Ovis aries: one gene and its partners. The main gene of each other region encodes a partner of the protein of the gene in region 3 in a complex. Links are inferred from orthologs where the notes say so. Each region holds a gene or a part of one and is shown on either strand. Other genes may lie near its edges. The genes, in order: MED24, MED25 and MED13.

Evidence for each region.
Region 1: MED13 (region 3) and MED24 share a complex: the UniProt entries of both Homo sapiens proteins name them as parts of the mediator complex. The link is inferred for Ovis aries from reciprocal best matches to the Homo sapiens genes MED13 and MED24.
Region 2: MED13 (region 3) and MED25 share a complex: the UniProt entries of both Homo sapiens proteins name them as parts of the mediator complex. The link is inferred for Ovis aries from reciprocal best matches to the Homo sapiens genes MED13 and MED25.

Annotation. Positions count from the first base shown.
Region 1 is NC_056064.1:40,087,873-40,091,523, forward strand, and holds part of MED24 (mediator of RNA polymerase II transcription subunit 24), read right to left. Parts: intron 3,542-3,651; coding exon 3,442-3,541; intron 3,133-3,441; coding exon 2,957-3,132; intron 463-2,956; coding exon 198-462; intron 1-197. UniProt on the Homo sapiens protein: Component of the Mediator complex, a coactivator involved in the regulated transcription of nearly all RNA polymerase II-dependent genes.
Region 2 is NC_056067.1:55,910,240-55,914,613, forward strand, and holds the start of MED25 (mediator of RNA polymerase II transcription subunit 25), read left to right. Parts: upstream 1-1,455; 5' UTR 1,456-1,550; coding exon 1,551-1,684; intron 1,685-1,777; coding exon 1,778-1,823; intron 1,824-2,293; coding exon 2,294-2,418; intron 2,419-4,374. UniProt on the Homo sapiens protein: Component of the Mediator complex, a coactivator involved in the regulated transcription of nearly all RNA polymerase II-dependent genes.
Region 3 is NC_056064.1:10,833,167-10,835,839, forward strand, and holds part of MED13 (mediator of RNA polymerase II transcription subunit 13), read left to right. Parts: intron 1-122; coding exon 123-223; intron 224-564; coding exon 565-697; 3' UTR 698-2,673. UniProt on the Homo sapiens protein: Component of the Mediator complex, a coactivator involved in the regulated transcription of nearly all RNA polymerase II-dependent genes.

The DNA of each region.
Region 1 (3,651 bases), about 29 Mb from region 3:
TCCCACAGCTCCCCTCAGAGCCCAGGAGCGCCCCAGGTGAGGAATGGCCTCTGGAGCCCAAGGAACCTTCTTGAGCTGGGATTCGCCAGGCTGAGGGTTGGGGAGCCAGCCAGCCAGACCTAGCTCAGTCTCATCAGGCCTGTCTCTGGCAGTCTGAGGATGCCTGCTCCCACAGCCCACCCCCAGCACTCCCGTACCTTAATCAGGTTGTTGCAGAACCAGTAGACACCACCCATGTGCAGCAGGGTGTCGAAGATGTGGATGGAGCGGCTGTCCACCCATCCCTTCTCCAGCACCTTAGCAAATATGTCCGTCAGCACCTCCTTGATGGGCCGCTTGGGGGGCAGCAGGTTCCAGTAGGGCATGGTGTCCATGCCCGTGGAGGGAAACTTAATCTGCGTGGCGGTCTGCTGCAGCACGTCCGCACACATGTGCTCCAGGATGGAGCTCATGATCACCACCCTGGGGGGGGGCGGGGGAGGGCCAGTGGTACAGGTTCAACAGAGGGGGTGGGAGTCGGGGCGGAAACACCCAGGCCCCACTCCTCCCAGGATTAGGGTTACGGAACCAGGAACCGGGAAATCAGCCTCATTCTGTGCTGAGGGAGGGAGGGGACAAGAGGAAGTTGCAAACCCTGAGCAGATGTGACCCCACCAGCCCTGTGCCAGCACCGAGCCTACAGGGGGTTGGTGGGCACTTGCCTCTCGGGTCATTTCAGCAATATATTCATACTTTTTTTTCCTCTCTCAGTCTCTCCCTCCAACTTCCCCACCCTCCAAGCCCGGGCCTGCCAATCCTCTGGCGTCAATATTGATAAATACAATCACTTCCCTCTAGGCTGTGCTCGAGGGGGGTTCCCCACCCGGCCTTGGCTTCCTCCCAAAGTAAACTGTTACTTCCAGGACAGGGGCCCAAGGGCTGCCCCACAAGACTCTTCCCGGCCCTTGGTAGCTGGGCAAATGTAAGTACATCCAGGAATTTCCTCATGACAGGAGTCTCTGATGGTGAATGCAGGTCTGGGCCTGAGAGCTAACCGTTCAGGGAACACTGCATGGCTCTGGGAAAGTCACCACGACTTTCATAGCCACTTTTCCCACCTGCAGGATGGAGCCATAGATTTCCCAGACAGCAGTTAGGGTGCTCACAATCAATTATATCAAAGAAAATAGTCCCTGATTTGTGGGAGGAGGATGAGGAAGGAGGGGAGGAACAGAGAAGGAGGCAGGGGAAAAAGACCCTCCCGATCTCATATCAGCTGTGTTTCCATTTTTTCCCTTAAAAGACATTTTGATGGCTACCTTGCGGGTCATCACTCATAACTTAATGTTTGGTGCAAGCCCACATTCATAGCAACACTAGTCACAACAGCCAAGAAGTGCAAGAAACCCATGTGTCCATCAGCTGAGGAACAGATAAGCAAAATACAACATATACATACAATGGAATATAATCCAGCCTTTAAAAAGCAAGAAGTCCTGACACATGCAACGGTGTGGTTGAACTCTGAGGAACATTACACAAAGTGAGACATGCCCGCCACCAAAAGATGAACGTGATATGATTTCACTTATATAGTAAATTCACAGAAACAGAAGCTAGGGTGGCGGTTGCCAGGTGCTTGGGGAAGGACAGAAAGGGGTGGTGTTTAATGGGTCCAGGGGCTGGGGTAAAGACAGGAAGGGGTGTTGTTGGTCCAGGTTCAGAGCTACAAGATGGAAACATTCTAGAGATGTTTCACAACAATGTGAATATACTTAACACACTACTGAACCCTACCGCTGGACCTGGTGGTACAGTGGAGAATCCACGCACCAGTATAGGGGACACAGGTTCGATCCCTGGGCTGGGGAGATTCCACATGTCTCAGAGTAAAAAAGCCTGTGTGCCACAGCTACTGAAGCCTCCAGACTCTAGGGCCTGAGAGTCACAACTGCTGAGCCCAAGCGCCCTATACAGCCCACACGCCACAACGAGCGGCCACCACGATCGGCCACCACGATGAGAAGCCCGTGTACTGCAATGAAGAGTAGTCCCAGCTCACCACAACTAGAGAAAGCCCACGTGCAGCAACAAAGGCTCAGCAGAGTCAGAAAAAAATAAAAATGAGCTGTTATCTTAAAAATGGTTAAGGTGGTAAATTTTAGATCATGTATTTTTTTACCACAATGTTTTAAAAAAGCTTACTGGATGGGTAAACAAACCCACACCCCCTGACTCAACATAGCTGAAGTTGCTAAGGAGGTCTTCCAAGTCTCTGAAAAGTCCAGGGAAGAAAAAGTCACAGAAGAGGGGGTGGGGGCAGGGTAGGGAGGGGGTGGACAGGCCCACAGCCTGTAAACACTATAGAGGGGCTCTACAGCTCCTAGAGAGGGACAGAGCTGAGATAAGACTGTTCCCACCAGCAAGCACCTGGGACTCAAGCTCTCCGAGGGCAGGAATCCTGGCCGTTTGGGGTCTGGAGTTTGGCACACACACAGCAGATGCTGGATTATAAACACGGCCGGCAAGAAGACACATACAAGCACTGCTGAGTCAGTGAGTGAAGATGTGATTGAGAATGTGAGTGAGCAGGCAAGTGGCATGTCTGGGGAGGTATGAGAAGAGGGGTAACTTCCCTGGTGGTGCAGTGGTTAAGAACCCACCTGCCAGTACAGGGGACACGGGTTTGACCCCTAGTGTGGGAAGATTCCACGTGTCTTGAGCGACCAAGTCCGTGTGTGCCGCCACACAAGAAGCCACCGCAGTGAGAAACCCACACGCCACAACCAGAGAGTGGCGCCTGCCCGCCGCCGCTAGAGAAAGCCTGCGCACCGCAGTGAAGACCCCATTTATTCATTGTACGCTACATAAATAAATGACTGATTTTTCCAAAGAGGGAGAGAGAGGAGGAGGAAGAGTGGTTACTGGAGGGGCTGACTTCTCACCACAGACCTGCAGAGTTCAAGAAGGGACCGACCTCTCGTTGTAGAACTGCAGCGTGTTCTCGCTGTACAGCGGCCCTGCCAGCTGGCGGATCATCTGCAGCGACTTCTCTCGCTCGTCCAGTCCCAGCATCCGCACGTGCGCCACGAGCCAGGCCACAGCGCACACTGCCAGGCTGCACACCTTCCCCTTGATATTATCTGTGATTTTCTGGGCGAGGGAAAAAGAGTGACTGGGGCCTCTCGCGCCCTCCCTGGCCATCACTTTCCCCGGCCTCCGTGAGCAACTCAGCAGAGCAGTGGGGTCTGGGGCCACGTCCAAGCCTCTTTTCACCACAAGTCTGATTTCCCCAAAGTCACCTGGTGAGAGAGGGTAGCTTAGACTATGACTACAGGGGAGGCCAATGCCCACACACGGGCTTCTGGAGGAAGGGTCGTTTTGTTTTTATGAAATGTAGCAAACTATCAAAGACTGGCTGTGCCTTAGGGAAGAGGGAAGGCTGCGGAAAAGAGGAGCTACCTGGATGGACTCGAAGGCTAGCACCCCATTCTCCCAGGCGTTGAGGATTTCCAGGATGGCCGCTGAAATGTTGAGACAGGCTTCGTGCCACTTCATCTGCCTACATGGGGATGGGGGTGGGAGAAAACATCACCACAGGGGTGGGCGGGCGTGGGCGGGGCTGAGGGAGAGGGCCCAAGCCTGCCCCCACCACCACCCCGGGGGCAGGCG
Region 2 (4,374 bases), on a different chromosome or scaffold from region 3:
TGCTTTAGATTTAAAGGAATTTTAAGATGTCTAAACACAGGTTCAGTCATTGTTGGATCTTGATGCAAATAAAACAATTGTAAAAAGACATTTTGTGAGAACTGGGAAAATTTGATTATGGATTTAAGTGTTCGACAATACCAAGAAGTAAGAATTTTGTTAGAGATGTTAATGGCATAGTGGTTACCTGCAACTTTGGGGAGATGCCTATCCAGCAGGTAGAGGTAAAATGATACGATGTTGGGATTTGCTTTACAAGCGTTCAGCAAAGAAAATAAAAGGATCAATAAAGTACATGAGACAAAACAGTGATACTGCTGAGTGCAAAGCAATGCACCCTTTTACCTTGAAATATATTGACAAACTGCATTGGAGCAAGCTGTTTTGGTTTTCATCTCCACTAGATCACGTCTGAGCCTGCTCATTTCACCCAAACCTTCCCACCGTCATGGACTTATTTTTCCAGCATTAATTAACATGACAAAGATAAACTGACTTATCATTGGACCCTGTGTTAGCACTTACTAACTTGTGCATATGAGCGACTTTCAGTATGTTTTTGCGTACAGGAAAAACCTGCTTAGTTTCCTCCCCAATTAAAAAAAAAAAGTATTTCTGTTTTCCTAAGTTTGTATTGATCAGTAATACGTATTTGGGTAGTAAATTTCTGTCAACACATGTTACAGTGACTTCCGCAGTTTACCGTATCGTTTTCAGCTTGGTTTATGAAGTCTTCTGCGGACAAACAGCTCAATATTTTCCGTGCTCTGGCTTTGCTGTAATGATAAGAAACTCTTCCCCAGTCTTCAGGATTATACAGTGTTATGGTTTCATTTGTTATATTTACATTTTTAATCCACCTGGAATGTATTCATGTTCTAGGCCAGTTTCTGGCTCTTCTCCCAGAAAACAACTATCAGGTGTTGCTTAGCAACCTCCACTCGGGTTAGAGTTCGGCTTCTTTTAGTGGGGAAAAAACAGCTGCACTCCTTTCAGAGTTGATTGCCACCTTAAAGCGTTGCCTAGTAACCCCGTTTTAGACGTTGTGATTGGACCCTTCACACGACCCACCCACCCCCATCCCCCAAGAACCAGTAAGAACTTAACTAGAAACCTAATCTGTCTTTTTAGGAAAACAAGGGCAGCGTATGCGTTGCATAGCAACCAGGTCTCCCGGCCCTTCCATTGAAACCGGTGTCGGAAAGGTCGCCCCCCCCTCAAAAATGGCGTCTGACGCGCCGCTTTCAGTATATTTCGCCCTCGAAAGTTCTGCAAATAATTCAAGCTTCCACCTCTGGTCCCCGAAGGAGTTCTCTAGGTCCTTTTTGAGTCTTGCACACACTGGGAGCGAAGGAGGATGGAGATAAACCCACCCGCCCCGGGCGCCCCGCACAAACATGGCCGCCAGCGCGCCGCCAGCGCCGAGAGGCCGTCCCGCGCGGGGGCGCGCGCGGCGCAGGCGCACTTCCGCTCAGCCCGCGGTGTCTGAGGCGGCGGCGGCAGCGGCGGTGGCGGCGGTGGCGGCGACGGCGGCATCTGCGGCGCGGGGCATGGTCCCCGGGTCGGAGGGCCCGGCCCGCGCCGGGGGCCTCGTGGCTGACGTGGTGTTTGTAATTGAGGGCACGGCCAATCTGGGGCCCTACTTCGAGGGGCTCCGCAAGCACTACCTGCTCCCGGCCATAGAGTGAGTGCCGTTTCCGCGGCCCCAACCCCGCCCTCCGAGTTTAGTTTTCCACACTCTCTCCTCACCCCGACCTTTCACTTCCGACCCTCACAGGTATTTTAATGGCGGCCCTCCTGCCGAGACGGACTTCGGCGGAGACGTGAGTCTTGGAACTCTCGAGTTTGAGGGAAGATGGGAGTCCGGACTGGGTCTGCGGGAGGAGGGGGCGGTACCTGAACCCTGGGCCCGAGGTGGGAGGGCTCGGGTCCGGACTCCGGGGTCGGAGGCGGGAGGGGCTGGGGTTTGGACACCTGGGTCCGAGGGGCTGGGGTCGGGATTTGCGGGTCCGAGCGGGGAGGAGCTGGGGTCTGGACTCTGGTTTCCAGGAGAATGGGGCTCGGGTTCTGGGGCTGAGGGAGGAGGGACTGGGGTCCGGACTAATGGGTCCGAGAGGGGAGGAGGCTCAGGTCTTGGGTCCGAGGCGGGAAGGGCTCGGGTCCTGGGTCTGAGGTGGGAGTACCGGGGTCCGGACCCCCGGGTCCGAGGGAGGAGGGGCTGGGAGCTCCGATTCCCCTGAGGGAAAAAGGAGCTGGGTCCCAGATGAAAAGTTCTCCTGTCCTCCCCTCCCAGTATGGGGGCACCCAGTACAGCCTCGTGGTGTTCAACACGGTGGACTGCGCTCCAGAGTCCTACGTACAATGTCACGCTCCCACCAGCAGCGCCTATGAGTTTGTCACCTGGCTCGATGGCATTAAGTGAGCTCTTTTCTCGGCTTCCGGAAGGGTTGGGGGAACCTGGGAGGGACGGCAGAGGAATGGTGCTGCCGGATCCAGCCCCTCACATTGGTTGCTAAAAAGGGCTGCGATGGGGGTTGTGGTTTTGTCCCTAGGTCACTTCAGTGGTCGGTTCTGTATGCTCAGCTGGTGTTGCTGTCTGGCTTGGAAGTAGAAAGAATTTCCTGGTCAAGGAGGCCTGGGGAAGTCCAGCACCCGTCCTACTCCTCATATATTATTCTCCTTTCTGTCTGTTGCTTCTCTTGTCTACTCTAGCCCTTCTTTTTCCTACTAGGGGCACTGAAGCTTGAGCGCAAGAGGGGTGGGGCTAAGCCTCTGTGCTTTGGAGTCAATGTTGATAGTTCACACTGCAGGTGCAGACAGCCTGGGGCCACTTTTCAGCTCTACCACAACAGGACTGCCAGACCCACGAGTCCCTGTCCTCTGTGTCTAATAGAACTCATCTCTAAAAGGGGAACGGTAATAGTACTTATAGTCATCCTGTTACTTATCCAGTGTTGGGAAAACAGATTAAAGCTTAGTGACTTGGAAATTCTCTGATGGTCCAGCAGTTGGGACTCTGTGCTTCCACTGCAAGGGACATGGGTCTGATCCTTGGTGGGGAAACTAAGATCCCACATGCTGAGGGGCACAGCCAAAAAAAAAAAAAAAAATTAATTTAGTGGCTTGTTTCCTTAAGTAAGGAATTCAGGGGTGGCTTTGATGGATGGTTCTCACTCACGGTCTCTTGTGGGATTTCAGTCAGATGAGCTGGGACCGCAGTCATCCAACTGTTGGATCGGGACCAGAGGATCCATTTCCAAGGTGGCTAACCCTGTGGCTGTTGGCCAGAGGCCAACTTGCTAGCTGTTCCTTGCTAGCTGTTATTCCTAAGATATCTCTCCATGGGGCTGCTTGAGTGTCCTCCCAACATGGCAGTTGGCCTTCCTCAGCCTGAGCAATCCAACAGAAAGAGCAGAAGGAGACTACAAAGATTTTTATAATCAAATCTTAGAAGTCACACCATCATTTGTGTCACATTCTGTTTAGTATACAAGTCAGTTCTGTTCAGTGTTGGAGGGGGCATGAATACCAGGAGATGGTGCTCAGTGGAGATCTAGTTCCGGTGACACTATAGGGGACTTTGGGAATCAAACGAGTTGATGACTGTTGAGAACAGTGCCTGACACGATTAAGCGCTCCCTCAGCTTTTGCTGTTCTTTTGTGTTTTGGTTTCTTGGTCTGCAGAGGGATAACGGTAGTCCATATCAGCACTCAGAGAAGGGTCACAGAAGCTAATCTTCATACTGTGTTCAGCTCAGGGTCTGGTCAGAGTCCATTAAACAACCGGATTCGTGGGCTGCTGTTATCTGCAGCAAATGTTTGTTGAACACTTGGTTTGTTTCAGGCTTCACGTGCTAGACCAGGCACTGCACATTCACTTTCCCCCCTTATGGTTGTTAGAATTCATGGTCAGGGCAGAGCAGGGTTTCTCAACCTCAGCACTGTTGACCCTTTGGGCCAGATGATTATTGTATGTGTGTTGTGGAGGGGTGGGGGGCATTCCTGTGTGTTGTAAGGAGTTCAGTAGCATCCTTGGCTCCTTCCCCCCCAATGCCAGTGGTCTCCTCCCTCCCCAGTGTGATAAACAATAAAAACAAAGATGTCTCCAGACATTGTCAGATGTCCCTTTGGGGACAGAATCCGCCCCAGTCGAGAACCTCTGGAACAGATTGTGGTGAGACTTGAATAATGTGGAATGGGGGCTCCTTGAGGTTCAAGTCCAAGTCTGATGTCCCTCAAGTTTCTAGCACCCAGCACAGGGCCTGGCATGAAAGAGCCCCAAGGAAAACTTTGTGGAACAAGCGAATGAACGAATGTCCAGAACGCCCTTCATGCTCTGGTTCTCCCTGGTAAACGCCTACATAACATCCAGGG
Region 3 (2,673 bases):
TAGTGGCTCCCATTCATTACATAAGTCTAAAATATATTTCATCAAGGAAGAGACCTTGGGAAAATAAGGTAAAACCAACAGATTTTTTCCATTTGGCTGACCGATTACCTGTTACTTTTTAGGCCTCTTTGCACCTCCACGTGCCTTCAGTGCAATCTGACGAGCTGCTTCACAGTAAACACTCCCACCCACTGGACTCAAATCAGACTTCAGATGTCCTCAGGTACGATTCTTTTTACCATTAAGCTTGGAAAGAATATCATGTTGATCCTTTCATATTTTTCTCATTTGGGGCAGTAGTTTACAGTTGTGTTACCTTTGGATCCCTAGTTGAATTATTTATCATTCAGAATGAGTGCTTTCCTTTCTAATACATGTTATCTACCTCTGAGAACAATTTTAATGAAAATCAGTTTTCTTTAACCTCCATAAGACCCTCTATTTCATTTCATACTTTAACTTTTTGTTTGTGTGACTTTTAATCTTATATGCCATCTTCTAATTTGCTTCAAAAATTTACAATGCAGGTACATACATGACTTACTTAGTTTACTTGCTTTTCAGGTTTGTTTTGGAACAGTACAATGCACTCTCCTGGCTAACCTGTGACCCTGCAATCCAGGACAGACGCTCATGTCTCCCAATTCATTTTGTGGTGCTGAATCAGTTATATAACTTTATCATGAATATGCTGTGATCTTCATTTGATGGAACTGTGCAAGAAAAGAACAAGGAAAAAGATTTCGCTGCAAGATTAAGTTACAGTTATCTTCTCAGTGAAAGTCATTTGTGATGGGGTCTAATTCTTATTACTTCAACAAATATTGTTTTGACTTACGGGGAGGGGGCGATAACCCTGTTATTTTTCATTGACTATACTGAACTCTTTAGGATGATGACTGATCATACACAACGTATTATAACATTTTCGTAGCAAAATTAACCTTTTTTTTTCCAGTCACAGTATTTGTGAAAAGTAATGAGCCATAGTACCCAGTCATGTTAAATGAATATTAAAAGCATGGAGAAGGAAACATGAGGAACAATGAATTTCAACATATGGCTTCAGAACATCAAGATGTTCTTGTATTGGATTATAGTATCTAGTATTCAAAAATGCCTGCATCTCTTATTTATTGTAAGTTTTTAAATGTATAAATTGTCTTATATTTCTTAACCTCTTTTATAAAAATTTTCCTAGAAGGTTTATACTGCCTTCTTGCTTTAAAGCAATTGGTCTAAAATACATGTAATCGTCTTAATTAAAAAGTTGCAGTAGGGTCGCTTTTAGAGTATTATTTTTTTGTAAGGGGGTGGGTGGGACAGTAAATTTGTATTGTCTTGATGTACAGTTTAATGGGGATAGAGGGGAAATAATGCCCATACCATTGTGTGTGGAGGATTTACAGCTAAGCTGTAGTTGCAGAGTACATGTACAGTAATGAAGTTCACTGTGTTTATAAATTGAAAAGGTACCGGGTCTTACAACATTTTATATCGATCACACCTTTACAGAATAACATGATGGCAATATACAAGTGATATTGTTAGGTGGTTTAACTTAGAATAAAAATGAGAATTCTTCAGTTATATTTTGTACTATGGTTTAGGGCTATGACTAATATTTCAGGCCATTTCCAGTGAAAGAAACTTAGTTTTACAAGAAAAACATTTGCTACTGAATGCTTAAACTAATTTTGGTGTTTAATGTTACATGCTTAAAATTTTTTGTTTAACAGTGGCACATCTAGGCATGGGAGTATTATTAATTATGAAAATTATCTTCAGGATCTGCTATAGGTTGAAATTTAGCCCAGCTCTAGGCATTTTACAAATTATTTTAAGAGCAGTCACTCTTGATTGTTTGACTTTTTTTTTTAATTAAAGATTGGGAATGTGTGTGAGAGTATGCATATGTATGGGTGTGTGTGTGCAATCAAACTGTGGTGTAAATAGATCTCAGTGAATTCTGGTATTCAGACTATTCCACTAGTTAAAGAACCATTTTCTAAACTTAGCCTGTTTCCTTTTGCCTTTTTTATTTATTTAATTTTCTTGGTTTGGAGATGGCAGTCCCAAACACCAGAGTCTGTACTTTTCTATAACACAGCTCAGAAAAGGCAGGGCATATGCCAAGGAGGTTCTCACCTCCCTAAAGAAGGGACTTGAATTTTAGGGACTTTAATTCACCCCTTCCTTCAATACAGCTTTCCCTTTTCTTGTTTGCACATGCCAAGATAACTGCTTTTATGCAGCCTTTATCCCCTTAAAAAAATCCTTTCTACAGTGCTGCTCACAAGAGAGTCCAAGTTAGCCTCCTACCTGTGTAGCTGACTTGAATTCACAGTCGCCAAGTCTACCTGTCTTTCTTGGAAGCAGTCTAGCTAAATTCTGAATTTGTATGTTCACTAATTCTCTACAAGGACAAAATGGATTGTATTTACAAAACTGTAATTTGGTATGTTTTGTTATTTTTTTTTTAAACTGAAACTTGTTTTGTAAATACTATATGCTTAGCTTAAATATCACTTTCTTATGAAAAATATAACTTCTTCAAATTGTGTATATTAAAACATTAGCAAGTCTTGTTTTTCCTATAGAGAAAACACAATTGGTAACAAAGGTTTTCAATCATTTGTTCAAAATTATAATGCAATCCCAGTGGTCAGCCTA